Oryctolagus cuniculus: one gene and its partner. The protein of the gene in region 2 purifies or fractionates together with the protein of the main gene of each other region. This does not show direct contact. Links are inferred from orthologs where the notes say so. Each region holds a gene or a part of one and is shown on either strand. Other genes may lie near its edges. The genes, in order: UQCC2 and UQCC1.

What was found.
Region 1: the proteins of UQCC1 (region 2) and UQCC2 purify together in Homo sapiens (co-immunoprecipitation; 3 studies listed by BioGRID and IntAct, counting the BioPlex papers as one, with this or other methods). This does not show direct contact. The link is inferred for Oryctolagus cuniculus from reciprocal best matches to the Homo sapiens genes UQCC1 and UQCC2.

Annotation. Positions count from the first base shown.
Region 1 is NC_091436.1:135,514,445-135,529,134, reverse strand, and holds the end of UQCC2 (ubiquinol-cytochrome c reductase complex assembly factor 2), read right to left. Parts: intron 13,284-14,690; coding exon 13,209-13,283; intron 11,968-13,208; coding exon 11,898-11,967; intron 8,597-11,897; coding exon 8,469-8,596; 3' UTR 8,421-8,468; downstream 1-8,420. Other genes in the region: inositol 1,4,5-trisphosphate-gated calcium channel ITPR3, read left to right, coding at 392-487, 580-681, 765-851, 1,313-1,423, 1,521-1,713, 1,857-1,982, 2,158-2,330, 2,807-2,971 and 7 more.
Region 2 is NC_091442.1:22,868,407-22,883,803, reverse strand, and holds the end of UQCC1 (ubiquinol-cytochrome c reductase complex assembly factor 1), read right to left. Parts: intron 9,970-15,397; coding exon 9,856-9,969; intron 6,832-9,855; coding exon 6,697-6,831; 3' UTR 5,427-6,696; downstream 1-5,426. UniProt on the Homo sapiens protein: Required for the assembly of the ubiquinol-cytochrome c reductase complex (mitochondrial respiratory chain complex III or cytochrome b-c1 complex). Involved in cytochrome b translation and/or stability.

The DNA of each region.
Region 1 (14,690 bases), on a different chromosome or scaffold from region 2:
GGCCCGGGGCGGGCCTGCGTGGGCGTGCGTGTGCCGGGTGTCGAGTGTGTGCGTGGTCACATGTGGAATGCGTGATGTCAGTGTGCTGTGTGGGGCGTGTGTGGCGATATGCGGTGTGTGCAGGGTGCACGGGTGGGCAAAGGAGCCGCGACGCGCGCCCTCTGCAGGTGAACACGTCTGCTGTGTGGCTGGGTGGGTGTCTGCCACCAGCAGGGGGTGAAGACAGGCCTGTGGGGCTGGGCTGGCTGTGCGGGGTGCTGCCCCGGAGCCTGGGGCAGAGGTTAGGAAGGACATGGCACGTCCTGGGGGGGCGTGGTGCCAGGAGGCGGCTGTGGGGCTGTGGTGAGGGCCCTGAGACTGTGGCCTGCACCCCCTCGGGCCCCGCCCCCAGGACAATGCCTCCAAGCTGCTGTTGGCACTGATGGAGAGCCGGCACGACAGCGAGAACGCCGAGCGCATCCTCATTAGCCTGCGGCCCCAGGAGCTGGTGAGCTGGGCAGGCGGGCGGGCCGACAGGCGTGTCCGGAAGGGGACCCCGCCCTCAGGAAGAGGGCATTTGAGCCGGTGCTTCCCTGCCAGGTGGACGTCATCAAGAAGGCCTACCTGCAGGAGGAGGAGCGTGAGAACTCAGAGGTGAGCCCACGAGAAGTGGGCCACAACATCTACATCCTGGCACTGCAGGTACCGGCCCCACCCTGTGGCCCTGCCCCCGGCCATGCCCTAGCGACCACGCCCCCAGCACCTGTGCCCGTCCTCTCCGTCAGCTCTCCAGGCACAACAAACAGCTGCAGAACCTGCTGAGGCCCGTGAGGCGCATCCAAGAGGAGGAAGCCGAGGGCATCTCTTCCATGGTGGGTGCCTGGGACAAGGCTGGGAGTGGGGCAAGGTTTGGAGCCAGGGGCGTGGCCAGGTGGGAGATGGGCAGGGCTGGAAATTGAGGGCGGGGCTACAACACAGGGAACAGCTGGAATCTGGGGAGGGCTCAGGGCCAAGGGCTGGGGGGCGTGGCCCGGGACCAAAGAAGGAGCTGGGATCTGGGTGCTGGAATAGAATTTGGGGGTGGGGTCCAGGGAAGAAACAGGGACTTAGAAGTGGGTGTAGGGCAGGTCTGGAAAGCCAGAGCAGGACCCAGGCCACAGCGGGGCTGTGCTATGGGACTCCCTGGCCTGGTGTCTCCTGGGATGAGTGGCTGTGGCTGTGGCTGTGGCTGCCCCCTGGCTGGCTCAGGGGTGGGCGATGCTCCCCGGGGTGTGGTCCAGAGCTGGACCTTGGCCGGACCGTGGGGGCCGACCCTGGCGTCCTGCACCTCCAGCTCAGCCTGAACAACAAGCAGCTGTCACAGATGCTCAAGTCCTCGGCGCCCGCGCAGGAGGAGGAAGAGGACCCCCTGGCCTACTACGAGAACCACACGTCGCAGATCGAGGTGGGCGGGGGGGGGGTGGCCGGGGCGCGCAGGCGGGGCCCCGGGGGACGTGACGTGCCGTGACGTGCCGTGACATGCCGTGTGTGCGCACGCGCAGATCGTGCGGCAGGACCGCAGCATGGAGCAGATCGTGTTCCCGGTGCCTGGCATCTGCCAGTTCCTGACGGAGGAGACCAAGCACCGGCTCTTCACCACCACCGAGCAGGACGAGCAGGGCAGCAAAGTGAGCGACTTCTTCGACCAGTCCTCCTTCCTGCACAACGAGATGGAGTGGCAGCGCCGGCTCCGCAGTGAGGACCGCGGACCGCGGGAGGGCGGGCCCAGGCACCCCGGCCCCGGGGGCCCCCCCACCCCGTCCCGCCTCCCTCCTAGGGGGGCCTGGAGCTTGTGAGGGCGCGCAGGGGGCGGGGCACTCACGGCCAGCTGTCCCCAGGCATGCCGCTCATCTACTGGTTCTCGCGCCGCATGACCCTGTGGGGCAGCATCTCCTTCAACCTGGCCGTGTTCATCAACATCATCATCGCCTTCTTCTACCCTTACGTGGAGGGCGCGTCCACAGGTGCGGGCAGCGGGGAGGCCCCGGGGCGGGGCGGGGACAGCCAGGGGCCAGAAACCAGGGCGGGCAGTGGCAGCCAGGCGGGGCGTCCGGCCCCAGGAGCTGCGCCGGGGAGGCTCCCAGGAGGCGCGGTGTTCTGGGGCTCCCGCGCCCCGCTCACCCCTGCTCCCGCGGCCAGGCGTGCTGGGCTCCCCGCTCATGTCGCTGCTCTTCTGGATCCTCATCTGCTTCTCCGTCACGGCCCTGTTCACCAAGCGCTACAGCATCCGCCCGCTCATCGTGGCGCTCATCCTGCGCTCCATCTACTACCTGGGCATCGGGCCCACGCTCAACATCTTGGGTGCCCTCAACGTGAGTGCCGGCGCAGCGCTCTTCCCACGTGCCCACCCGCGGGGGGACCTGAAGCTGGCCCGCTCTGCCCCACCCCCTGCTCTCTGGGCTGAGGTCCCATGCTCGGAGCCACTGAGCACCGGTGCCGGGGCCGCCGTGTCTGCAGCCGGCACAGCGGATGTCAGAGGCGGCGCGTGGTGACGGTTCCCTGGCAGAGGGAGGGGACGTGCCCTGAGCAGAGGGGGCCCTTTCCCGACTTATCGGGTCACCATGCTGGCCTGGGGCTGTCTTCTCCACCCCTCTCTTCCTTTCTCTGAGCCTTGGTTTCTTCCTGGAGCTGCAGGCCCCGGGGGCTCCCCTTCCTGTCCGTCCCGGGAGCCTTGATGCATAGCTGGGAGTGGCTTCGCTAATGCGGCACCTCTGGGTGGGGCGTCGAGGGGTAAGGGGATGGGGTGGAGGTTTGGGCGGGACACTGACCCCCATGCCCTACCCCTCAGCTGACCAACAAGATCGTGTTTGTGGTGAGCTTCGTGGGCAACCGTGGCACCTTCATCCGTGGCTACAAGGCCATGGTCATGGACGTGGAATTCCTCTACCACGTGGGCTACATCCTGACCAGTGTCCTGGGCCTCTTCGCCCATGAGCTCTTCTACAGCATCCTGGTGAGGCCCGCGGGCTGGGTGGGGCTGGGCGGGGCCACTCGGGTGGTTCCCTAGCGCAAGCCTCTGTCTTGTCCTTTGGCTGCTGGGCTGGGAGGAGGGGATGTTCAGTGTCCTCTCTTACTGACCCCAGCCTGACCTGCTCTGTCCAGTACAGTGGGGCTTCAAGCCTGGACTTTGGGACCAGGCCATGGGTGTGTATCTCACCTTGGTCACTCCTAGCCCCTTGTCTTTGGGCAAGTTTTATATATTTTTCTTTTAAAGATTTATTTATTATAAGAATTAGAGAGAGAGAGAGAGAGAGAGAGAGAGAGAATTGATCTATCTGCTGGTTCACTCCCCAAATGGCTACAACGGTCAGGGCTGAGCCAGGCTGAAGCCAGGAGCTGCTTCCAGGTCTCCCATGTGGGTGCAGGGGCCCGAGCACTTGGGCCACCCTCCGCTGCTTTTCCAAGAGCATCCAGGACTTGAACCGGTGCCCATATGGGATGCCAGGGGCTGCAGACGGTGGCTTAACCCGCCGCGCCGCAGGTTTAACTGTCGGCTGGCTCAGTTTCCCCCTCTGTGAAGTGGCGAAGGCAGCTCCTGCATTTCAGAATACTGGGGGTGAAGTGAGCTCGCGCACCGAGTGCCTGCGGAGGGCCGTGCGCTCCCCCGCTTCGTGCCATCCCCGCGGCTCCCCTCGCAGGCCACCCGCTGGCTCTCCCTGCCCAAGTGCCGGGTGCTGCTGGGGCCTGTGGGGGCCCGCGGGAGCCCCTTGAGGGGGGCGGCCCAGCTGCTCAGGGCCCTGTCCCTCGCCGGCAGCTCTTTGACCTCATCTACCGGGAGGAGACGCTGTTCAACGTCATCAAGAGCGTGACCCGCAACGGCCGCTCCATCCTGCTCACGGCGCTGCTGGCGCTCATCCTGGTCTACCTCTTCTCCATCGTGGGCTTCCTCTTCCTCAAGGACGACTTCATCCTGGAGGTCGACCGGCTGCCCAGCAACCACTCCAGAGGTCTGGGGCAGGGCCTGCATGTCAGGGCCAGGACCCCTATGCTCATCCTGCGAGACTCCCTGCCAGTCTGTCCTGTGAGATTCTGGGAAGGTCTAGCTCACACCAGTCAGCTCCTGATTGGTCTAGCTCACGCCATGATTGAGAACCTTGCGGTTCTGACCCCTCAGGAGCCACTTGGTTGAGGGCTGGAGCTGCTGTCACTCATATGAAACTCAGCATTTGCAGGGGCTGCCTGGGTCCCGGGTCTGGGGGGTACAGAGGCCTCTCCCCGCCGGCAGTGGGGGCAGGCAGCACCGGGGGAGGCGGCCCAGAGGGTGTGATGCTGGAGACAGACCTGAGGGGGTGATAAGGACCCTGTCCCTGTCCTCACAGCCAGCCCCCTGGCGATGCCACACGGAGCTGCCGCGTTTGTGGGCACATGCAGCGGGGACAAGATGGACTGTGTCTCCGGGGTGTCGGTGCCTGAGGCCCTGGAAGGTGAGGGTGGGGATCAGTGGATGCGGGGGTGGGGCGGGTGCAGGGGCCAGTGGCGTGGGTCTGAGCACACTGTGCACTTGCAGAAGACGGGGAGCCGGACAGCACGGAGCGGGCCTGCGACACTCTGCTGATGTGCATCGTCACGGTCATGAACCACGGGCTGCGCAATGGAGGCGGCGTGGGCGACATCCTCCGCAAGCCCTCCAAAGACGTGAGTGCCGGGGCCCCGCCCACCCGTCGGCTTCGTGGGGACGTGAGCCCCGCCCCGCGGCCCCCTGGAGATGCCGGGGCTGGGCCCTGGCAGCCACACTCTGGCTGGGGAGGATGTGAGTCAGGCAGAGACTCCGTTGCACCGGGCGCTCCGGCTCGCAGGGCCCGCAGCGGGGAGGGCAGGGCAGGGCAGGGCAGGGCAGCTGAGTCAGCTTCCAGGGAGGCCTCCTGATCTGGCTTGGGAGCCGGCATTCCCTGAACCGCAGTCCACCCCCGGGGCCTGGGGAGTGAGGAGCCGCCTCCCTGGCCAGACAGGGTTTCTAGAATGTGTGAGGTCAGGCATCCTGCGGGTGGGGCAGGGGAGCTCGGCCCTGGCTCTTGCCCTAACTAACCAAGAGTTAGGGGCAGGGACAGGCCCGGGCCGGTAGCCCTCGTTCCCGCGCCGTGGGGCTGCACCGGCCCGTGCTGAGTCAGCTGTTTTCCGAATCCACGCTGGGGGCCTCTGGCTGCACTCTCGCTCCAGGGAGCCAGACGGGCCCACCCTGCCTTCCTCACGGCCAATGAGCTGGAGCCCCCATCGCCACAGGGCCGGGTGAACGCGGGGCCAGCCTGCCTGTCCCCTCCTTGCAGGAGTCTCTCTTCCCAGCCCGCGTGGTCTACGACCTGCTGTTCTTCTTCATCGTCATCATCATCGTGCTGAACCTCATCTTCGGCGTGATCATCGACACCTTCGCCGACCTGCGCAGCGAGAAGCAGAAGAAGGAGGAGATCCTCAAGACCACCTGCTTCATTTGCGGTGAGGCCCGGGCCCAGCCCCCAGCAGCCCCTGCGGAGCCCTGCTGAGGGGCCGCCGATGGCTGGCGCGTGTCCCCGGAACTGGGCAGAGAACGGCCCTGCCTGAGCTCGAGGAAGCGGGAGGGGGAGAGGGCCTCGGAAACCGGCCCTCTAAGCCCTGGGCTTACAGGCCTGCCGGTGGCCTCGAGGTTCTGGTTTCGGTCCCTCGCCAGCCCCCTCGCCCGGGGGACACGGCCCACAGGCAGCCCGGCGGCAGCTCTGGCCGTGCACGCCCGCAGGTCTGGAGAGGGACAAGTTTGATAACAAGACGGTGTCATTCGAGGAGCACATCAAGCTGGAGCACAACATGTGGAACTACCTGTACTTCATCGTGCTGGTCCGCGTCAAGAACAAGACCGACTACACCGGCCCCGAGAGCTACGTGGCCCAGATGATCAAGGTGCCCACGGGGCTGCCGCCTCGCTCCTCACGGGGCGGGAGGAAGCCTGCGGCGGACAAGAGCTGTCCCCTCCCTGGGGACGTCAGGAGAGTACAGGCTGGGTACCCTGACGAGGTGGCACAGCCTCCCTGCCAGCTCACCGTGGCCTGGGTCGGCCCAGGCTTCCCCGTGATGCATCTGTCAAGGGGTGGCAGAAGCTCCCCCCTCAATGACTTTTTCTTTTTTAAGATTTTTAAGAAAGATTTATTATTAGTTTATATGAAAGAGTTACACAGAGAGAGGCAGAAGCAGAGAGAGAGAGAGAGAGAGAGAGAGAGGGGTCTTCCATCCACTGGTTCGCTCCCTAATTGGCTGTAATGGCCGGAGCTGTGCCAATCTGAAGCCAGGAGCCAGGAGTTTCTTCCAGGTCTCCCATGTGGGTGCAGGAGCCCAAGGACTTGGGCCATCTTCTACTGCTTTCCCAGGCCACAGCAGAGAGCTGGATAGGAAGAGGGGCAGCCGCGACTTGAACTGGCGCCCACATAGGATGCCGACACTGCAGGTGGCGGCTTTACCTGCTGCATCACAGCGCCAGCCCCAATGACTGATTTTCCAAGTGAGGGCTTCCTGGGCCAGACTGTTCACCTCCCTGGTGGCCTTTTTCAGAATAAGAACCTGGACTGGTTCCCCCGGATGCGAGCCATGTCCCTCGTGAGCAACGAGGGTGAGGGGGAACAGAACGAGATCCGCATTCTGCAGGACAAGCTCAACTCCACCATGAAGCTGGTGTCCCACCTCACCGCCCAGCTCAACGAGCTCAAGGAGCAGGTGCGCACCCCGCCCTGGGCCAGCCCACTTTGCTCAGCCTTCCTGTCAGCCCTGGGACGTGAGTAGGTCCCGAGCTCTCCCCTACACCGAGTCCTGCCCCATGGCCCAGTGGAACTCCGGCCCGGAGGTATGGCCTCCCTGGGCTCTGCAGCCAATGGGGACCCCCTCCCCGGGGCTCCTGGGGCATGGGGACGTCAGAGGCAGCTGTGGCTGCCCGGCACACCTGCCCCGTCCTCTGCACCTGGCAGTGGCCTGGTTTCCCAGCTGCAGCCAGTCAGGGCTCTGTGATGCGCTCCCTGAGCAGCAGGGTTTGGAGCCGGCAGCCTGCAGAGGAGCAGGACGCCAGCCCTCCCGGGGAGGGGGCGGGTGGCCTGACCGGGCCTGCACCTGTCCCCGCCTAGATGACCGAGCAGCGGAAACGCAGGCAGCGCCTGGGCTTTGTGGATGTGCAGAACTGCATGAGCCGCTGAAGACGCCCGGAGGCCCTGACCAGGACGGCCAACACCGGGGGTTGTGCCCGCGGAAGCTGCCTGCTCCCCCGGGCCAGGGGGCCCAGCCAGCCAGGTGGCCTCTCAAGGCCAGGGACCCACCCAGGGTCCAGCTCCTGCCCGCCAGACCTCCCCCCACCCCACCCCACCCCAGGCTGAGGCCAGCACGGAGGGGGAGCCTCGGAGCTGGTGGTCCTGCCTTGAGCCCTCAAGTCCACTGGGACTCAGTTTACCTTAATGCCTTAGAAGTCCCGGTGACCTGCGTTCCTTCGGGCAGTGCCTGCCAGTCCCATGGCACCCCCGCGGCGTCAGCAGTGGGCTCCCCTCCTCTCCAAGCACTACATTTCGCTGCTGCTGCCTCTGGGGAGGTGGCGGCGGTGCTGTCACTAAGCGACTTTAGGGCTTAGTTATTTAACTTATTCCAAGGTGCACTGCTCAGCCATGTCGCCCAGGTGTCCTGATGACTCAAAGATGGGCAGCCTTTCCCCCAGGACCTGCCTCTTCCTGGGCCAGCCGCACGGGCTGAGCACTGCGAGCGGCTGTTTGTTGACTGCCTGTTTTTTTCTCCTTTGGGTGTATTGTTTTACAAGTCTTTTGTCTCAAGAACTAATGTTAATTGCCTTAAATAAATTAATAGAAATAAACCCAGCTCATTAAAAAGGAGTGCATGTCCTGCCTGTACTCCCCCACGGGGCTCGCCTGCGGCCCCAACACTCCTCAGGCTCACAGCGCGTGGCGACAGTTCCCACCGTCCCCTCCAGTTTATTCCACAGATTTCACAGCACACAGCCTCTTCTCTGGGCCGTGTTCCTGACGCAGGGAGCTCAGAGCGGCAAGTCTGGGGCTCCTACAAAGCCTACCCAGTCGGCAGCCAGCTGCAGCCTGAGGCCCTGCCTGTCCCTTAGCCTGGCTGGGCACGTGGGTCCTCGGGAGGCCAGAGGCTGAGCTCTGTCCTCAGTCTGCGCACATCCTCCCAGGGCCTCTGACAATGACGGGGGAGCCCGAGACTCATCCCAGGAGACACCAGGCCTCCACGGAAGGCGGGGCTCCTGGGCCTGTGCAGGAAGCACCTTGGGCAGAGGCCCCGTGACCCGCCCTGGAACCCGCGCTTCCTCCCCAGAGAGCTCCCCGTGCTGACGCCGGTCCCGGCAGCCGGCTGACACCGCTCCTCGGGCGGAAGCTTGCTTTAGTGCACGGGTTTCCGTCCTGTGGGGCAGACGCGATTCCGCAGCCGTGAGGTCGGGGTCGGGTGATTTATTGACAAGGGCAACATCAAAGGCGCCACACTTAGGTTGGTGGGCGAGATAAGGCCCGTGCCCAGGCCCTGTGCTTCTCCTCAGGGCTCTTGGAGGCAAACTTCTCCTGCAGCTTTTTCCACATGCCTTTGTTCATGTCCTTGAACTCTTCCAAGGTGTCTGCAAAACAAGACACAGGGATGGCTCAAGTCTCAGCTCTGGCTACACGGGCAGCCCTGGGGCCCGCACATCAGAGCAGCCCGCTGGCAGTGAAGGAGCCCCGCGCGCCCGAGACACTGCCCGCTCCCAGGGTCCCCGTCCTGGGCATCTAGGAAGCACGGCGCACTGCTTGTTGCCCTCTGCACACGAGTGTACAAAGCTGCACGGTGGTGTGCACCATGCGATCCACAGCCATGCGCTGCACCACAGGGGTTTAGACTTCTCAGAGTACTTCAAAAAGTTCATGGAAATACATGATACTCAAAACTCCGTGCATAGATTTCAAGATGTTTTTGCAACAAAATTAACTTTTTGAAAGTCATAGTTACACAGAGAGAGGAGAGGCAGAGAGAGAGAGGTCTTCCATCCGATGGTTCACTCCCCAATTGGACGCAACGGCCAGAGCTGCGCCGATCCGAAGCCAGGAGCCAGGAGCTTCCTCTGGGTCTCCCATGTGGGTGCAAGGGCCCAAGCACTTGGGCCATCCTGCACTGGCCCCCGCCCCAGGCCATAGCAGAGAGCTGGATCAGAAGTGGAGCAGCCGGGTGTCGAACCGGCGCCCATATGGGATGCTGGTGCTTCATGCCAGGGTGTTAACCCACTGTGCCACAGCACCAGCCCCCCCATAAATAAATATTTACAAAATTTTTTTTTTCAGCTACTTGAAAGGCAGAGCAACGAGGGGTGGAGGGAGGGAGGCAGGGAGATAGAGAAGCACTCTTCCAGCCCCTGGTTTATGTCCCAAATGCCTGCAACGGCCAGGGCTGGGCCAGGCTGAAGCCAGGAGCCTGGGACTCCATCTTAGTCTTCCAGGTGGGTGGCAGGGGCCCAAGTACTTGAGCCGCCATCTGCTACCTCCTGGGTACACTAGTAGGGTGCTGGACTGGAAGCAAAGTAGCCAGGACTTGAGCCAGGTGCTCTGATATGGTATATGGGAGCCAAAAGCAGCAGCTTAACCTGCGTCACAATGTGGCCCCAGAGCTGGGATTTGAACTCTTGCCGGTGTGGGTTTACTGCAGGCTATGCAGCTAAACAGGCATTAGGGAGGGAGGTAGACCTGGGCCTGAGTCTCCACCAATCCCCTCATCTGTAAAATGGTAAAAATGACCACCTCGAAAGTTGTGAGGGTCTGGGCCAGCGTTGTGTGGTGGTTTTAGCTGCCAGAAGTGACATCGGCATCCCCATATGGGTGCCCCTTTGTGTCCTGGCTGCTCTACTTCCAATCCAGTGCCTGGGAAAGCAGCAGAAGATGGCCCAAGTGCTTGGGCCCCTGCCACCCACATGGGAGACCCAGATGAAGCTCCTGGCTTCTGTTGCGGCCATTTGGGAAGTGAGCCAGAGTATGGAAACTCCCGGTTTCTCCATCTGTACCTCGGCCTTTCAAATAAATCTCCAGGAAAAAAGAAGTTGTGAGGGTTAAAGGAAATGCGGGCAACTTGCCTGCCCCCCACGCCCGCTGGACAGACGGTCTCTTCACTATGCAGGCAGAAGGGGCTGGGGAGAGCAGTGGTACAGGTACCCACCCACACCCAGGGATCCCTCGCCTCCACCCATCCAAAGCCAGGAGCACCTCTGCTTACCACCTGCTAAGGAAGCCTCCAGACACTGCCACGGGGCCCCTGGGGACAAAGCTGCCCCCCCGCCCGCCCCGAGGGAGCTGCTGATCTGCAGCACCCCTGAGCCCAGCAGCCGTGACAGCTGGCTGCCCTGTGTCTAAAACGTAGAACATGCTCAGGCCTGCTTTAGCGTTCATGGGCTGAGTTTCCGTCTCTTATCAAAACTCCCAGAGAACAAAAATAGCCTTTCTGAACAAAAAAAGTCACCTACGTTATTTATTAATGACATCTGCTGCCAGTGGCTCCTGGCTGAATCAGGACAGGCGCTGCCCTTCAGCCACCAGCCTGGCAACCCGCCCTGGGACTTTTCCAGAAGTCCGGGGTCCCTTATGGGGCACAAAGGCACCCCTTGGTGACGAGACCCCTGTCTGCCTCTGCCTGCAAGTCACGAGGACCCCACGCCCGGCGACACGCGGGGACTGGACTCACAGGCCCCAGAGCCTCATGCTACAAGGTGCTGCAGGTCTTTGCTTGCCCCGTCACGGGAAACACTCGAGCAGCTCACCCCACACGTTTGCAACAAAAACACAAGGCGTACTGTGAAAACCAATCATCAGCAAATTTCCTGGGGCCAGAACAAGCCACCGCACAGCCAATGGCGGGGGCCCATCTCCCAGCCTCACTGCCACCTGTCCCCTGCACACTCCAGCTTCCCGGGGGTCACAAGAGGGCAGAGGCAGGGCCTCTGAGTCGGTGTCCATGCCACTTTTAAGTCCAAACTGCTCAGAGTCTGTGGGCCCTCGCGATGAGCCTGGCCATCAGCACGCTGACTGCAGAGACCCAGGCACGGGGAGTAAACGTCTACCTTGAAAAATGCTGACAGAGCGATCCTGCCTGCCCACAACACCTTCACCCCATTCCTGGAGAGCGCTGTAATGAAAGCAGGCTCAGAGTCGACAAGAACACAGGCGACAGCCCCAGGTTCCAATCTGCGCAGAAGGTAAGAGAGTTCTAGAAGGTCAGACGCCTGCATCTTAGCCGCTGCCGGCCGCTGGAGAGACCTCCAGAACCCCAGCAGGCCAATGCCCAGGGCTGGCCCTCCCAGGAAAGGCCGGCCTATTTCTGTACACAATCTCCTTGGCAATGGGAAGGGTAATTTTCCAGCACCTGCCCGCTGCAGTTCCGGCTCCCCTGCCCCAGCCCCTCTGCTCACAATGGAGCCAGGGACGTGAGGAGGGGACCGGCCTGGCAGGGTGGGGTTTATCGAGGACTCCCACACAGACCTGGCTAAGCCGGCTAATCCACAGACCGCGTCCCCGGGGTCAGATAAGTCTCAGTCGGATATCCCTATACATGTTTTATTGAATGGCTTTTTGTTTTAATTAAAACCCTCATTGTTTATAGAGCCCCCTTAGGGCTATAAAAATAAAATTATTTTCCTTCCATCCTGATTTCAACTACTTCCATTTGGCAAATACGTATTCCCCTGTTCCCTGCTGCCCAGCCTTGAATTTGAAAGCACTAAAGATGGATTTTCTTTTTTAAATGATGCCTTTGACCTTCTCCACATTCTGTGGCCAAACAGCACGGGCCCTGCCGTGACTCCAGACTGTCCATCGAGCAGCGCTGTCTTATTAGCCAATCCCCCCCGGCCGCTCAAAGACTCATCTGCAAAGCAACCGAAAGGGCAGCTGTGCTCTCGGTACCTGTGGACAGGATCAGCTTGTACTCCTCCAGGGACAGGCCGCTGAAGCTGGTGTCTCTGGGCCGAGGGTACTGGGGCAGAGGAGAGAGGAGAGAGATTAGTTTTGCACCACACAAGCCTTGCTCTCTCACAATTCACCAGGGCCCTGGGCAGGCCCAGGCCAGGAACATGGCAAGGAGAGGAGCAGCGCCACCGTGAGGTCAGACTTGGCCTCACAAGCACCAGTCTGCCCAGGGCAGGCAGCTCCAACCTCAAAGTGGAATCCCCTCTGGGAGCCAGAGGCCAGCGTGTTCCTGACAGTTCTCCGGTGACGCCCACATGTGCTTTCCTGCGCGGCCACATGGTTAACCATCAGTATCCTCTGGACACCAAATCCACAGCTGCTCGGGTCCCTTATATAAAGTGGTATGTAGGGGCCTCCACCTGTGACAGACATCCCATATGGACACAAGTTTGAATCCCGGCTGCTCCACTTCCAATCCAGCTCCCTGCTGATGGCCTGGGAAAGCAGCCGAAGATGGGCCCCAGCACCCGCATGGGAGACTTGGAAGAAGCTCCTGGCTTCTGATGGCCTGGTCCGGCCATTGCAGCCATTTGGGGCATGAACCAGCAGATGTAAGACCTCTGTCCCTCCCTAACAAATCTTAAAAAAACAAAACAAAAACAAACAAACAAAAAAATAAATAAAGTGGTCTGTACTATTTGCATATAACTTATGCACACCCTCACGTGTAATTTAAATCACCTCCATGTAACTTACAATATCCAGCAAGTGCATGTAAATGGCTGTTACAATATATTGTTCAGGAAATAATGACCAAAAAATGTCTGCACACAGTATTTTTCCTGGATGTTTGCTCCATGGGGGCCTGACTCCATGGGCGCGGAACCTCTGGTTAAGGAGGCTGCTGTGTACGTGTGCAGTCAAGCCCAGGGAAAGCCACACTAAATGGCATCTGACAGTGACTAGCTCAGGGTCGGGGGAAGCCCCCATCTCCCCACCTCTATCACCAGCGCGGGAAGTACCCGTTCCACAGAGCGATGGGAACACGTGAGACCCAGGGCCTGTCCCATGGTCCCGTGAGTACACACCGGCATTGAAGCACAAGGCTTTTATTCTCCATTTTAACAGCCTTTGTCTAGGTGACCTCAAAGCCTCTACAGGCACCTTTGTTGGCCTGGCTGAAATTGCTGGTTACACGGCAAAGCGGGGAAGGCAGTTCTTTACAAAGCCTGGTATAATCAGGTTTCCCTCGTTCTTCCCGGCTGCCCCCGTCAGAGGGCTGGGCTATGACAGGCCGGGCCCACTCACCTTGTGTTTGTAGTAGTTGGAATGGAGCCGGGCTAAGCTCTCGTACATCTGATCACAGGCCTCGGGCTCTGCAATCTGTAAAACAAGGAGCCCCCAAAGAAGTGAGCAGAGCAGTCCTGCGCCCACGCTGCGCCTGCACCCGAGGGAGGACCACACGCAGGGAGGCACCCACACGACGCAGCTGGTATGGGCTCCCGGGCTGCTCAGCCTTGTGGGAGTGGACCCGACCCACAGCCCCCTGCAGTGAGAAATCACCTTTGGGAGCAGTGACTCCCCCTCATCGGTCCCCCACCTGCAAACAAAGCAAGTGAACCAGCGAACAATTGCCTGCTGAGCTCCTGTGACTTCCCCCGGGAGACAAAGAATCGCAGTGGTGGGAGCGTGTCCCTAGCTGGGGCAGAGCCAGGGCGTTCGGGGGCCTCGAGGCTAAGCAGTCAGTGTACACACCCGCGAGACTAAGCTGGGCTCTGAGGGCCGTGGGGTCGGGAGCAGAGAGGGCCTTCCCGGGGGACAGGCTGGTGTGTGCGAGGCGGAGGGGCAGACTGGACGGTCCGCCCGAGGGCCTGCAGGTACAGGTGGAGAGCCTGTGCTGCAGGAAGGGAGAGCTGTGGAGTTAAACTTTCAACATGAAACGGATTAAAAACATTCTTCTATGAAAGGCAAAAAATAAAAATAAAAAAAATCACGTGACCTTCCACCTGCAGTAAGCGAGGAGTTGCTGAAACAGGGCGGTATTTAAGGCGAGCGCAGTGAGCGGGTGCCCATGATGCTGACTGCGGCATGGCCCGGCTGGCAAGGGGTCCTTGCCAACGCAGGGGCACACACGCGGCCTCCGGACGCCCGAGGGGCAGCGCCCCTGCCGGCAGCATCGGCACGGAGGTGGACTTTCCCTTCCCACCGCCCCTCTGCCGTCGCTATCATTTACCCGTGGCTCCTGGCTTTTTTCTGCCTACGATTCTGAAAGCTCCCCAGAACAAGACTTTCTCTCCACGGTTTCCCCAAGAATTCAGACGGCAGATCTCTTTTCTAACTGAAATCCTCTCTCCAAGAAGGCAACGTGTAGACAAATCAGTAGATCAGCGTTTTAATAAGGCAGCTCTGCTTCTGCCTCTGTGTGTGTGTGTGTGTGTGTGTCAGAGAGCGAGCTGAGGTCCCCACGTGACAGCACGCAGACAAGGGATCATCACTGAGCTGCACTGCTGGTCCCTGCGCTCGGGCTGCGCATCACGAGCACGCCAGGTGGCCGGTGCTGGCTAACAGTGGCCAAGGGCAATGTGTGGGCAGAAGACAGGCACGAGGCTGGGGCTGGCAGGCCAGCTTCTTGGGGCACAGGCCGTCTGCACACACACTCTGGTGCAGAGGGACAGACGAGTCGCAGAGGAGGGAGCGCAGCACAGGCACAAAGCTGCGGCGGTGCCGTTCTGACCACCAAAGGTGGCTGCGTTTCCCCCGCGCGCCCTCCTCGCGCCTGTGCCTATGCGC
Region 2 (15,397 bases):
TCCAGCTCACTGCCAGACTTCGTCGCTATCTCGGGCCCTAGGGAGCTCTGTGGCTGCCCCCTTTCTTTGGGCTAGACGTGCAGTTAGGCATCCAGTCCTGGTGAGTTTTTGTCTGAACTGTCTCTGGGGTCTGAATTCCCCCTTTGAATGCCTACTACCAGGGCTTCCGGCCAGAAGGCTGGCCTCCCTCCCCTTCCTGTGCACCTCCGTGTATCTCTCCTTAATGGGAGCAAGCTGGGTTCCGGCTGCCGCCCGATGGTGCGTGATCCAGGCTCCCCATCATGGCCACACTTGAGCCTGAAGAGCTTCCTGCTCCGTGCCTTCACCAGGACAGCTCCTCCGGTCCTGGCTTCTCCCTCCTACCGAAAGCTGGCCCACTTGTCATGTCCTGACTGCCTGCTGTGATTTTGCCAGCTAGTGTGTCTGTGTGCACACACAGCTCCTGCAACTAGAAAATGCTTTTTTTTTTTTTAATTTGACAGAGTTATAGACAGTGAGAGAGAGACAGGGAGAAAGGTCTTCCTTTCGTTGGTCCACCCCCCAAATGGCCGCTACGGCTGGCGCTGCGCCGATCCGAAGCCAGGAGTGGGTGCTTCCTCCCGGTCTCCCATGCAGGTGCAGGGCCGGAGCACTTGGGCCATCCTCCACTGCCTTCCCGGGCCACAGCAGACAATTGGATTGGAAGAGAAGCAACCGGTACTAGTACCCGGCACCCCAACCGGGACTAGAACCCGGGACTAGAACCTGGGATGCCAGCGCCACAGGCAGAGGATTAGCCAAGTGAGCCACGGCGCCGGCCGCTTGTGGTTTCTTGTTTTTTTAACAGACCAATTGCCCCTTCCTCCACCCAGAACTCCCTTTATAGAAGGGAGTGGGTTTGGGTGCACGTAGGGGATGTGTGGGCCTTTCCAAGCTCGTTTCCCTCACCTACAACATGAGCTTAATAACTTGTCCTTCACAGGACTGTCACCAAAGATTGAGACAGCAGCCAAGTACAAAACCACGCCCAGCACAGAGCAGGAATGTACAACACAGCTGCCTGAGCTGCAGTCTCAGCTTGATGGAAGTAGAATTCACTCTATTATTTTAAAAATGAAGCTAAGCCGGCGCCGCGGCTCACTAGGCTAATCCTCCGCCTTGCGGCGCCGGCACACCGGGTTCTACTCCCGGTCGGGGCGCCGGATTCTGTCCCGGTTTCCCGGTTGCCCCTCTTCCAGGCCAGCTCTCTGCTGTGGCCAGGGAGTGCAGTGGAGGATGGCCCAAGTGCTTGGGCCCTGCACCCCATGGGAGACCAGGATAAGTACCTGGCTTCTGCCTTCGGATCAGCGCGGTGCTTCAGCGCGCCGCCCGCGGCGGCCATTGAAAGGTGAACCAATGGCAAAGGAAGACCTTTCTCTCTGTCTGTCTCTGTCTCTCTCTCTCTCACTGTCCACTCTGCCTGTCAAAAAAAAATTTAAAAATGAAGCTGAAAGTTTATTTAAAATGTTTATTTAACACCTCTATAATAGTTTCCTCTAGAAATTAAGAAAGGGGCCAGTGTTGTGGCATGGCGGGTTAAGTCACCCTCTGCAAAACCAGCATCCCATATGTGCACTGCTTTCTGTCCGGCTGCTCCATTTCTGATCCAGCTTCCTGCTGATGGCCTGGGAAAGCAGCGGATAGTGGTTGAAGTCCTTGGGCCCCTGCCACCCATGTGGGAGACCTGGAAGAAACTCCTGGCATCTGCCTGGCCCAGCCCCGGCCCTTGGGGCCTTTTGGGGAATGAACAAGCATATGGATGATCTCTCTCTCAGCTCCCCCATGCCCCTGCCCCGTAACACTTTCAAAATAAATCTTTATTAAAAAATGAAAACTAAGAAAAACATATTTCCTTTTTTTTTTTAAAGATTTAGTTATTTGACAGAGTTAACATAGAGAAGGAGAGGGAGAGAGAGAGAGAGGTCTCCCATCCGCTGGTTCACTCTTCAATTGGCCGCAATGGCCAGAGCTGCGCAGATCTAAAGCCAGGAGTCCTTCCGGGGTGCAGGGGCCCAAGGACTTGGGCCATTTTCTCCTGTTTTCCCAGGCCATAGGAGAGCTGGATTGGAAGTGGAGCAGCCGGGATTGAAACCGGCGCTCATATGGGATGTCGGCACTGAAGGTGCCCATATTTCCTCTTTTAAAAAGAGTGTAACAGAGAGGAAGAGACAGATCTTTCACTCACTGGTTCACTATTCAAATGCCTGCAACAGCTAGGGCTAGGGCAGGCCAAAGCCAGAAGCCAGGAGCTCCATCTGGGTCTGCCACAAGGGTAGCAGGAACCCAAGCATTTGGGCTATCATCTGCCTCCTCCCAAGGAGCATTAGCAAGAAGTTGCATCAGACTCAGAACAAGGCACTCCGATATGGGATGCGGGTGTCCCAAATGGCAGCTTAACCCGCAGCACCACAATGCCTGCCCCTATTTGCTTCCTCGAGTGAGTAAATATGCGATTAAACCTCTGTATCCATGGGTTCAACCAACCACAGATGAGAAAGTTAGGAAAGTGCACCTGCACTAAATGTCGATGTTTTTTTTGTCATTCCCTGTGACACTACTCACGTAGTATTTACATTGCATTACACACTGAAAGTATCTAGAGATGATTTAAAGAACAGGGGTGGGGTATGCATAGGTTATATGCAAACACCATGGCATTTTACATGCAGGACTTGAGCATCCTGGGATTTGGGTGTCCGTGGGGGGAGGCGTCCTAGAACCACACACACCCTCCTCCCCGCTCCCTGAACACTGAGGGATGACTCTACTTCCATTTATGTGAAAATGGGAACTACGTAATCACAAGGGTTTTCTTTTTCACCTTCCTGGCTGCCAGGAAGCGTAGAGCAAGGTTTTACACTCAATTGCAGATCTCCTTGCTGACCTGAAGGTGGCAGTGTGGTATGGGGAAAGAGCAAGGGTCCTGGGGTCAGAGACCTGGGCTGGGACTCAGCTCCTCTGACTCTGGATCACTTCTTAGGCCTCTCTGGGCCTTAGTTTCCTCACTTGTGGAAAAGGGATAATAAAAACTATAATAAATATAGTAATAAAATAATAAATATAATAATAAATGGAATAAAAAAATTCTTACTTTATGGAACTGTCGTGAGACAACACATTTAAAATGTTTTTTTTTTCTTTTCTTTTTTATTTTTCTTTTTTATTTTTTTTGACAGGCAGAGTGGACAGTGAGAGAGAGAGACAGAGAGAAAGGTCTTCCTTTGCCGTTGGGTCACCCTCCAATGGCCGCCGCGGCCGGCGCGCTGCGGCCGGCGCACCGCACTGATCCGATGGCAGGAGCCAGGAGCCAGGTGCTTTTCCTGGTCTCCCATGGGGTGCAGGGCCCAAGCACTTGGGCCATCCTCCACTGCACTCCCGGGCCACAGCAGAGAGCTGGCCTGGAAGAGGGGCAACCGGGACAGAATCCGGCACCCCAACCGGGACTAGAACCCGGTGTGCCGGCGCCGCAAGGCGGAGGATTAGCCTAGTGAGCCGCGGCGCCGGCCCATTTAAAATGTTTTATAAAATATCCCAAAAAATCTATTTGCAACCTAGGTTTTCTTTTTAAAGATTTATTTATTATTTATTTACTTGAAAGTCAGAGTTACACGGAGAGAAGGAAAGGGAGAGGGAGAGGGAGAGGAGGAGAGATAGAGAGAGGAGGAGAGATAGAGATCTTCCATCTGCTGGTTCACTCCCCAATTGGCCACAGTGGCTGGAGCTGCACTGATCCAAAGCCAGGTGCTGCTTCCAGGTCTCCCACATGGGTGCAGGGGCCCAAGGACTCAGGCCATTTTCTACTGCTTTCCCAGGCCACAGCAGAGAGCTGGAATGGAAGTGGAGGAGCCAGGACTTGAACCAGCGCCCATATGGGATGCCAGCACTGCAGGTGGTGGCTCTACCTGCTACACCGCCGTGCTAGTCCCTAGGTTTTCTAACATCATTTTTCCTCTCTTCCCTCCCAATACTTGCATCTTACTTTTTAAATGTTAATAGTTTACAGTTTTATTATAACTATCTTTTTGTTTGCTATGATACTTTCTGGAAGTACAGAGAGTACAAATAAATGACGTAATTGTTCCTAAAGCGCAATCTCCCTGAGGACAAGTAATCATACCCTTCACTTGTTTTGTATAATAACAACTCACATTAGAAAAACACTTAGTTGGGGCCAGTGTTGTGGTATAACGGGTTAAGCCACTGCCTGCAATGTCAGCATTCCATATGGGCGCTGTTTCAAGTCCTGGCTTCTCCACTTCAGATCCAGCTCCTGGCTTTGGCCTGGCCCAGCCCTGGCCACTGTGGCCATTTTAGGAGTGAACCAGCAGATAGAAGATCTCTCTCTATCTCTCTTCCTCTCTCTCTGCAACTCTGCCTTTCAAATAAAACACATCTTCAAAAGAATAAAAAAAGGAAAAGAAAGAAAACAGTTATGGAAAGAACTTTTGTGTTTGATTCCTATACTAAAGTAAAAAGAAGTACTTAATACCTAAGCATCATTGTTCAAACCGTCGACCTGTAGGTCAGACTGACAAGAGTCCAGAAAGGGGCTTTGTGGCTGGACTCCCACTGATAATGACTGAAGATTTAATCACTTATTTGCTCCTTCACTTACCGAAGTATGCACTGAGCCCAGCACTCTGCCAAGCACGGCAAAAACAAAGGAGAGCAGCACTGTGTTTGCTGTGCGGCGGCAGCTCGCTGGCCGCAGGGAGCAGCACGGACAGCGTGCACGTGCCTGGCGAGGGCTCGAGTGGAGCTACTTGAGGAAGCCTGGACGTCTCTAGTTAGAAAGGGAGGGATGAGCGCTGCAGGCAGAGGAAACACTAAGTAGTCTCTCCAGGTAACCCCAAGTGGTTCGGTCTCCTAACGACAGGCTGGCATGGAGGTAGGGGATCCAACTAAGAGCCTGGTGGTGTTGAAGGAACATGGAATGTATCTTGGGGGGGAGGGGGAGGACTGGCAGAGTCAGTGAAAGATGCTGATGGCCAGGAAGGGAGGACTATGGGACACCACAGACATGGCAGGGCCAACGTGGCCCTCACGCGTGGCTCCATCTTACGAGTCACTGTGTTTGATGAGGACAGGCTCTGCAGGCAGGGACCATCTACGTGTTGCTGGAAGGACCCACTGGGGGCCAGCGCGGATAGGGGCCAACTAAGAAGGGGAGTGAAGCTCTGGAGCGGGAGCGGGCCCAACAACCATCACGGTTCCTTCCCCATCTGAGGCTCCAGGATTCCCCGGCAAGCCCGGTAGCTGAACTGGGGCTGTGGGCTGGAATCTGTGGCTGGGGAGCTGCCCTGGGCAGCAAATGGGTTAACGCTCAAATAACTTTTATATATGAATTAATGTGTAGAGTTGGGAGCCAAAATCTGTTCCATTAATTTTTCCATCCATTCCAGGAGCAGTTAGGTACACACAGTAAAGTTTATTTTGGTGCATGGTATACTTCACTCCATTAAAAATAAATTAATCAGCAAATTCCTGCCTGGCTCAGCTCTGGTTTATGTAAATAGTGCCCAGCTGTAATGAGTTACAAGGTGTTATTATCTCACACACACAGAGGCTTCACTCTAGAGCTCTGTGCGCAACAAAAGCTTCTTAAATAAACTGAGAGAAGGCGGTATGATTTGTAATGTTTTCACAGAAGTGGGATATACCTCACCCATATAGAGTTTCTTTATATGACTCATTTTATAGCAAGTTAAATGAAGGAAGTTTGACGGGGGAGGGAGGGGCAATACGGTTCCCCGCCCCTTTCTTCGATTTAAGAAAGTCCCCCAAGACATGACCCACACAAGAGGGAGGAGGGGACTGGTGTGGAGAGCTCAGCCCAAGGTGGCTCCGGAAGTGGGGAGGAGGTGGAACGCGGGGACGAATGATCTCTTTTCTCTACCATCTCCCAGAAGGGGAGGCCAAGACAGGAAAGACGCACGCTCCTCACCCAGTTCATGGGGTGACAAAGGGACCTTTGTTCTCGAGGCCTCTTTCCAAATGACCCAGGATGGGCCAAGCCCCTCGGCCCTCTGAGGCTCCTGCATCCCGGAGGACTGGCTTGCAGGCACTGGCCCACGTCCATGTCCTGCAGGCAAGCTGCGGCACACTCTCCTGACCTCTCCCCTCACCCTGGTTCTAACGGAGCTGGGCAGAGTGGCTTATGACATCCACCAGCCACGAAGTTTCTAAAAGACCTTAGAATAAAGAAGAGCCTGGCGGAGATAAGTCTCTGTTTCTTTTAATGGCCGGCTCAACCCCATGGCCCAGAGCTAAGGGACACAACATGGTTATCCATCTTGAGTTGGCAGCGTTACAAATCGCTCCTAGGCCACAGTGGCCCGCAGTGGGGTGTCCCCTTTCTAACCTGTCCCTTCCTGAGCCTTTGGAAAAGCTGCCAACCACACGTGGCTGCTGAAAGAACATGGGGGGTATGCCCTCGGGGAGCTCCTGCTTGGAGCTTCTCCTGAGGAAAAGCTGGGCATTCTCCCAGGGCTGCCCCCCACCAGAACAGACTCCTGGGCACAGTAAGAGGAGATGCAACACAAGAAGGGCCAGGTGTTTGACAGAGGCTGTTCACAGGTCAGTTCAGGCCATTCTCTGCAGGGTCCTGGGCTCAACAGTCACTTCTCTCCTGGCAGTTCTTCAAAGCCAGCTGGCCAAAAGTCCGGGAGGAGCAGTGTGTCAAAGACCCTCGTCATTGTACGTGGGCGAAAGGGGCTTCAGGATGCTCTGAGGATTCTTCTCCACTAGAGGGCGCCAGCTCACCTCCCCTGTCAGAAGCAGGTCTTCACCATTCATGGAGTCCAGGTACTGCATCTGCATGGAGAGAGCAGGGAACAGAGGAAGAGACAATGACAGGACAAATGTGAGGTGGCACGAGGAACCAGCCTCCCCGAGTGAGAGAGGGAAGAGGACACGAGGGGACTTCTGGCCGTGCTAGCTCCCAACCAGGGGTTTCTGGTCTCCCAGGTTATTTCACTAAGATTTGGCGAGAGAAGTCCCGGGGAAGCTCACTGGGAAGGTTTTGGAGCATCTCGTACCACACACCCACCAAGGACATCCACCGTAGGCCCGCCCGAGAGAGCTCCTGCAGCAGGAAGTCAGGGCTTGTGACTCACAGAAGGCATCCTGTCTACGCCCACCCAGCGCGGCAACAACAACAACAAATCCCAATTCTACCCCTCCTTGGTGGTGTTCCCAAGGAGGCCACTTCCTCTCTGATATTTAGTTCCCTGTCTCATAGAGGGGACTCAAGGAGAGGTACAGTACCGCATGCGCACAGCACTACTCACTCGAAAGTTTTCCTACTTTGTACACCTCCGCTGTCCTCCAGCGGCCCTGATGCTGGTCAGCGCCCAGTGCCCCGCTTCCAGGACGGCCGGGAGGGCCCATCCCCGTGAACAGCTCTGCCATCGAGACGGCGGCAGTCCCGGAGCTCTTCTGCTGCCTGGCAGCTCTCCCCTCCGAGCCTCAGTGTCCCCTCCAGAACTGGGGCCACCCAATGTTGTCCCCTCCTGCTCCCCAAACTGACAGCTGCTCTGACATCTGGAGACACCATTCAGGACCTCTGGGCTGTCTTCAGCCTTCAGACTCTGGGCACACAGTTGGTGAGCTCCGGGTGCCACTGCCCTGGGCAATGCTGGACCCCTGGACGCTGTCCCTAGGAATCTCAGTACAGATGCTCTCTATGGAGGGAGGCACTTGTGGATGGAGGGGAAGGAGAGCAGCTCAGGAAGTGGGCTCAGGTGGCTCTGCAAGAGGCCAGGGAGTGAACAAGGGCTGGGTCTCCGGAGACCATTTCTGGAGGACTCCCAGGAGCCTGCAGGGAAGGAGGGCAGCACAAGGAGAAATGCCTGCAAGCAGAAGGGCAAAATCCAGGGTGAGAGCTGATCAGAGCTCAAGTCAGCACCTGATTGAGAAAGATGAGCCTTGATTTGGGGGAGCAGGGAGGGGAACTAGAAGCTCTACCTTGAGCCTTGGGTCACCCCCTTCTTCCAGGAATTCCTGGTCCTGATGCTTCAACTTCAGGCTGTTGACCCTTGAACACCGCTCCGGCCTCTCACATAGCTCAGGTCTAGATTTCCACATGCCCTGCTCTCCGCCCAGGAAGGAAACTCAACTAAACTGTCATCTTCTCCAAAGCCCACTCCGCCGTCCAACTGCTCCATTTCTGTGCTGAATGCCACCACTTTCCCCACCTCCTGGGTTGAGAACTCAACATATTCTCTGACTGGGTCTTGGCCCATTGAACATACCGAGCAGCACACAACAGTGCAGAACTACAGTCCTCCCCAGTCCTCCCCAGTCCTCCCCAGTCCTCCCTAGTCCAGGGGTCAGCAGGAACCTCTCCCTGCCGTCTTCCTCACCAAACCATGAGCTGGCTCCTCAGGGGCAGTGCCAGCCTTAGTAATCTCCCCTTTCCTACCACAGCGACTGGCACAGCAGGTGTTCAAAGGATTGATGACAGAACTGAGTTCCCATCGAAGCTTCTGGCATCCCTAAGAGGCCCATCGCTGTTTTCTACTCCCCAGTTCTCACTGGTGCCACAAGTCCGGGCCTCCTTACAGGGACACTGGTTGTGGTAGCCCCTTTCTTTAGGGTCTTCAGAGGGGTCCCAGCTGTGCCCTGTCAGACTCTGGCACAAGCCCACCATGGCAGATGGAAACCTGAGTGGAGCACTCAGAAAACACAGCACGTGCTTTGCCAACTGCTGCTCCTTTCCGAGACTGAGTCCAGGCAACAGTGCCAGGCTCAGGATGCCCTGTGCGTGGGGCCCTCTGGCCATGGTGCTATCTCCCGGACTTGGGCAGATTTGAAGAATGGTCAAACAAAGTCCTGGCTTCCGGGGTTCTTTACCCTCTAGGTCTGAAGAGCCCCAGGATACGGCTTTTCTGGTAGCCAACTGGCCATAGCCAGGACGACGGTCCGAGTCTTCTCCTCAAGAGCTGGGGTCTGACCTTCCCTTTCCTGCTGTTGAGATTTGAAGGCCGTGGATACAGGTGAACAAGGGACAACTATGGCACAAGCCCCTTCCTAGCTAGGCCCGGGAAGCAAAGGCGTGACTCATGGGACAGCTGAGCTGATGAGCTGTCTGTTGGCAGCTGAGGTCTCCAGTGGCCACGTCGATCACCTGGCTTGGGGTCCGAGGCCAGCTGTGCAGCTGACTCACTGGAGATCCTGGGAAGGCCTCCACATTCCTTGTCCCTATCACTCAGCCCACTCATCCATAAAGTATGAGTTCTCTTCAATGTGGGCCCTGGGAGCAGGATCATGGAGTTACTTCTCCATGGGTTCAAGGAAGGCTGTAGAGGTAAGCAGTCTTTACTGTGAAACTTTTCTCCGAGAGCTCTGATGCTGCCAAAGGGGTGAGGAACTGAAGTGGGGACTTTGCTTGACTGTGGGAAGAGGCTGGGGGTATCTGTGGAACACTGCCTGCAGCCCAGTTCCACTAGAAATCAGGAGCAGGACAGGAATCCGGACACAGCGGTCACTACACCCTCTATACCCAATGCCCGGTTCTTTCAGGACTCCATGGGGCAGTATCTAGCATGGAACCTGGCACACAGCAGACAAGGAGATGTGCAGTGACTGAGTGACTTCCCGTTTCTGAAAGCAAGAGGTTACTCACTGCCTTCTCTCTCAGTCACTCTCATTCCCTGCCCCCTGCCTAGTTCATGGCTGGCCACACAGAAGATGCCTGCTGCTTAAGTGATGTGGTCAAAGTTCCCTCAGACAGGCCCCTGCTAACTCAACCTCACATGATCCTGATCGTCCAGCGTCCACAGACTCAGGGAGCACCCGCTTTCCACAGGCCCTGGAGGGGAGGGGCAGGACACACACCTGTTTCCTCACATATTCCACCAGCAATTCAAGCTGCCGAGGGTCTTCACACTTCTGATTGAAGAAGGTTCTCCAGAGAGCAGCAGCCAACCCATGATCATCTGAAAGGATCCCCTGGAACACACAGCACAACAACTTGTTTCCTGAGTGAGGAGTACCACAGGCGTGACACCAAAGCCGGGACACTGTGAGCAAGCTGGCCATCACACAACTGGCTCAGGAGGACCTCGCAGACTCTGAGACAGGAATGGGACAGCGACACCACAGAGCTGGAGGGGCTCCCATGAGCACACCTTGTGCAGCCCCTTCATTTAACAGACACGGGAAGAACACGGGACCCAGAGGTAAGGGGATGCACAGCTGGGACATGTGTCTAGTGGACCGTCCTGGGCACAGCTCCCACTGTTCCACACTTGAGAGGCTAGGAAGAGCACAGCTGCTCCTGCTGGTGTCCACAGGACATGGAGGGAGGCAAAAAACATCTTTTTGTTTTTTTAAAGATTTATTTATCCGGGCTGGCACTGTGGTGGTTCAGCTCAGCTCTGGCCACTGCGGTCATCTGGGGAGTGAATCAGCAGATGGAAGACCTCTCTCTGGCTCTACTTCTCTCTGTAACTCTGCCTTTTGAATAAATAAATAAATCTTTAAAAATTTTTTTTATTTATTTGAAAGTCAGAGTTACACATAGAGAGAAGGAGAGGCAGAGAGAGAGGTCTTTCATCCACTGGTTCATTCCCCATTTGGCTGCAACAGCTGGAGCTGCGCCAATCTGAAGCCAGGAGCCAGGAGCTTCTTCCAGGTCTCTCACGTGGATGCAGGGGCCCAAAGACTTGGGCCATCTTCTACTGCTTTCCCAGGCCACAGCAGAGAGCCAGATTGGAAGTGGAACAGCTGACTTGAACCGGTGCCCATATAGGATGCTGGCACTGCAGGCGCCGGCCCCTGGACTGCATCTTTATGCTTGGTCCAAAGGCACAAATCTACAATGGGGAAGAAGTGGGTACTTGTCTTCAGTTACCCAACCCTGGGCTGGAAACGGCTGGTCCAGGCTATGCTGTTCACCAGGTCTGCCATGAGCCTAAGAGGATCACAGAGAATCTCTCCTGGCACAGGGGAGACCTCTGTTGGGAAGCCCAAATATCAAAGAGATTCACTAGAACCTCAGCCACAGGCCAGGGCCATTTTCTAACTTGGACCTCTAGGGAAGGAGAGGTGAGGGTCTTGTTCCCTGGAGCGAGGGTGCTTGAAGGGAAAAGTTGAGGAGCTGCCTTGTCCTGGTGCCAAGTCAGTGTGTGGAACCCAAGTGCTGACTTGGAGGTCAAGGATCAGATCAAATCCTAGTTCTGCCACTGCCAAGTTCAGTGACAGTGACAATTCAGTAAACCTGTGTCTTAGCCTTCTCAGTTATTAAAAAGGGATGAAAATACTTGCTCTACTTACAACATCCTTAACTCACAAAAATAAGATAACATGAAGGTGTTTTGTTAGGGGTAACATGTTGAATCAAAGATAAGAAGTATGCATGGCAGGCAGCTGTGGATATAGCCAAAACAACAGCAGGATCTGGGAGCCAGACCCTCTGAGTTCAAATGCCAACTTCTGGCAGCTGTCACCTGATGACCACATGGCCTTGGAAAAGCTATTAACCCTCTTCTGAGCCTCAGTGTCTCACGTGTTAAATAAGTATAATAATACGCCCCCCCACAGAGCTGTTAGAACTAAGAGATAATGGCCATCAAAGGCTCTGTGAGTGGTAAACATTACTCAAAGACCCAGGATCATTTACCCGTGTTACACTGTGGTCTGGCCTCTGGGGCCCTGTGGTATGTGAGGTCTGGCTCTAGGCCTGCAGTCAGGAAGGGCCATGTCCATGTGGAGTGCTGACAGGTGGGTGGAAAACATTCCACCTGCTCCAAATGCCCTCTATTGAACACTCCTACAGTCGCCCCAGCTCCAGAGCGCCCTGGCCTGCGGGCTGAGTCAGGAAAGCCGTCTTCTGGCAGGTGGCGATAGGGGCCAGGACAAGCTCAGGCACATCACCACTCCCCAGCTCTTTGCTAACACAACAATCTGCCTGTGTCTGCAGTGCCCTGGGCGTGCCAGATGCTGCTGGCAGTGACCCACACGTACGCACGCCATGGGAAGGAATGGGAGCGCCAACAGGAGCAGGTGTCCTGAGAACTCGGAGGATGAGCAGAGCCTGGGTCAGGAAAAGCCTGGGCACCAAGGCCTGCTGCTTGGTGGCAGATGAGATGGCCAAGGAGGGGCAAATCATCAATCAGGAGTTCCTGGGCAGTCAGAAGAAAAGGCTGACGCAGGCTCCTTAACAGTGGTGGCAAACTGGCTGCCCCAGGCTGTCAGGTCTCCTCACAAACCCATTCCTAATGACTGTGTGCACCGGGCAGGACAAACATTATCATCCCCATTTAAAAGGTATGAACACTGAGCTTACAGGTTATCCAGTCTACTGGTAGTAGAACTAGACCAGCTTCTAATGGGGGGGGGGGGGCACACGTGCCTGGGCAGTTCCGGTCAGAACACAGCACCTGGCATAGAGGGGCTTTCTTTCCTCCAGCATGCTCGGAAGTCAGTGAGAACAAATGGAGATCGGCTGAGAGTGCCAGTTTAAACTAAGGAAGCAGAGGAGGAGAGGAAATCTAGCAGCCAAACACTTAATTGCACAGCAATGTTCTCACTGTCTAAGAGGGTGCCTGCCTGCTTCCCCTCACAAGCACAGAGAGCAAGCAGCCTTCAGGAAATGGCAGACATGGAGGTGTACAGAGACTGCTGGCAAGCAGGAAGGAATGTCCTGCGGGCTTAGCGGCAGAGTTTCACTCGTGACAACTGATTTGACACCACTATGTGCTTAGCATGATGCTAAGAACACAGAATCATGGTGTCAGCTCTCAGGGAGTTTGCAGTCCAGCAGAAGGGACAAAGCACATCCAACAGCAACAATAAACAAGAAGGAACAAATGCCAAACAGCAGAGCAGGATTCCACATGATTTGTCCATGGCTGCCTCTCCAGCCCTCAGACTTGAGTCTATGCTGCCTTTCTCTGTCACTCTATCACTGCATGCTTTTTGCAACTAGTTATTTATTTGCTTGTTTACTTGTTCACCATCTACCTCTCAGTTAGAAGGCAAGCTCCAGTCGGAAAGAGACCATGTTTTACTACACTTGATCTTAGCCAAAAGGCCGAGAAGCGAGAGAGACCATGTTTTTTTCACCAACTATTCTCCACACATCACATATGGTTAACACTCACTAAATACCTCCCAAATGGATAGGTGAAAGGATGAATGGTAGATGGGTGCCAAAATTCAGAATAAAAACAAAAGAGACCTATAGAGGCGAGGGAAAGATTTATGGAGAAGAGGGCATTCAGGAATGGGGAGGGTTTGGAGGTGGGTATTTGGCACCACAGTTAAGATGCTACTTGGGACGCTTGCATCCTGTATCAGAGGGCCTGAGTTTGAGTCCCCATTTTTCTTTTGATCTAGTTGCCTGCTAAAGCACATCCTGGGATGCAGTAGGTGATGACTCAAAGTACTTGGGTCCCTTCCTCTCACATAGATCTGGATTAGGTTGTAGGGCACTGGCTTCAGCCTGTCCTAGCCCTGGCTGTTGCAGGCATCTGGGGAGTGAACCAGCAGATGGAAGATCTCTGTATTTTTCTCTCCCTCTGTCTCTCTATGCCTTTCAGATGTAAATAAAAAGAATGGGGAGGATCTGGAGAGTGACAGACAATTCTCATTCACTGAACATTTACAGGAGTGCCTACAAAGTGCCAGTTCCTGAACTAGGCCCCAAGGTACAAAGCAGACCAAGACTCAGCTATCGCCGCCAACATCTCATTGTCCAGTAGAATCTCAATCTGGCACAGAATGTGGGGGGTGGGCAGTGAGGTGAACAGCCCCACAAGAAGGTAGGCAACGGGAGATAAAGGGCATGTAACAACGGAAACAGTTCACGGTGGCCTAGAAGTTCACAGGGCACTTTGGATCACATGAGCAAAGATGGATAACAACCAGCCTGCAGACCATTTAAGGTCCATGAAATCATTCGTTCTGGCCCTACTAAGGCAACCACAGGCAGGACTTGAACTTCAATAAGTCTATAGCAGGCTAGTTTTTAAGCTGATAATTTTTTTAAAGATTTTATTTATTTTACATGAAAGTCAGAGTTACACAGAGAGAGGAGAGGCAGAGAGAGAGAGGTCTGCCATCTGCTGGTTCACTCCCCAATTGGCCACAATGGCCGGAGCTGCGCAAATCCGAATGCAGGAGCTAGGAGCTTCTTACGGGTCTCCCACGCGGGTGGAAGGGCCCAAGGACTTGGGTCATCTTTCACTGCTTTCCCAGGCCATAGCAGAGAGCTGGATCGGAAGTGGAGCAGCTGGGACTTGAACCTGTGCCCATATGAGATGCCAGCACTGCAGACGGCAGCAACTTTCCCTGCTAAGCCACAGCGCTGGCCCCTAAGCTGATAATTTTGTATGGCCTGTGAATGATGTTTGGAATATCCAAATGGCCCTTGGCAGAAAAAAAGGTTCCCTATACCTGGCATCAAAACAAAACAAAAAACCCAGGAAGGTTCCAAAGTGTCCAGGAAAGGGAACACCAAACAAGATTGTAGCAAAAGGCTGCTGTAGAACAGCACTGTCCAAAACAACTTTCTGCGATTTGGAAACGTCTTATACCTGCACAGCCAATATCGTAGCCACTGGTCACTTAGTTATTGAGCACCTGAAATGTGACTAACGTGGCTGGAGAACTGTATTTATTATTTTGCCCAATTAATTTAAATTACATGTCTGGGACTAGCATTATGGGGCAGCGGTTTTGTGGTACAGGATGCCAGCTTCCCATATGAGTGCTGGTTTGGGCCCCAGCTGCTTTACTTCCAATCCAGCTCCCTTCTAATGCGTCTGGGAAAGCAGCAGAAGACAACCCAAGTACTTGGGTTCCTGTGGCCCAGAGAGGAAACCTGGATGCAGTTCCAGGCTCCTGGCTTTGGCCTGGCCGAGCCCTGGCTGTTATGGCCATTTGGAGATGGAAGATTGATCTTCCTTTCACTCGCCCTCTTCTCTCTAACTCGGCCTTTTAAATCTATATCTACATCTATATATAAAATCATTAAAAAAAATAGCTTTATGTGGTGAGTACTAGGCAGTTCTGGAAACTTGTGACTGCAAATGTAGTCTGCAAAATGGCTGCGAACATATCACCTGCACCTGTTAGTGCAGACTCTCAGGCCCCAGCCTAGGCTCACTGGATCTGTGACTTCCAGGCAGGTCACAGACACATTAAAATCACCTGGAGAAGTTTTACATCTCCAGACATCCACCAGTTCCAAATAAATCAGAACCTTTGGAGGACAGGGCCCAGATATTTTTACCAAGTTTCCCGAGTAATCCGTATATTCCCCAAGCTTTCCAGCTCTTGGGAGACACCTGGGGTGCTGCTGACCTGGAATCTTCAGAGAGGTCTCAAGAGTTAGGTTTAGAAAGCACCCCGGGCAATTCCTGTGGTCAGGTAG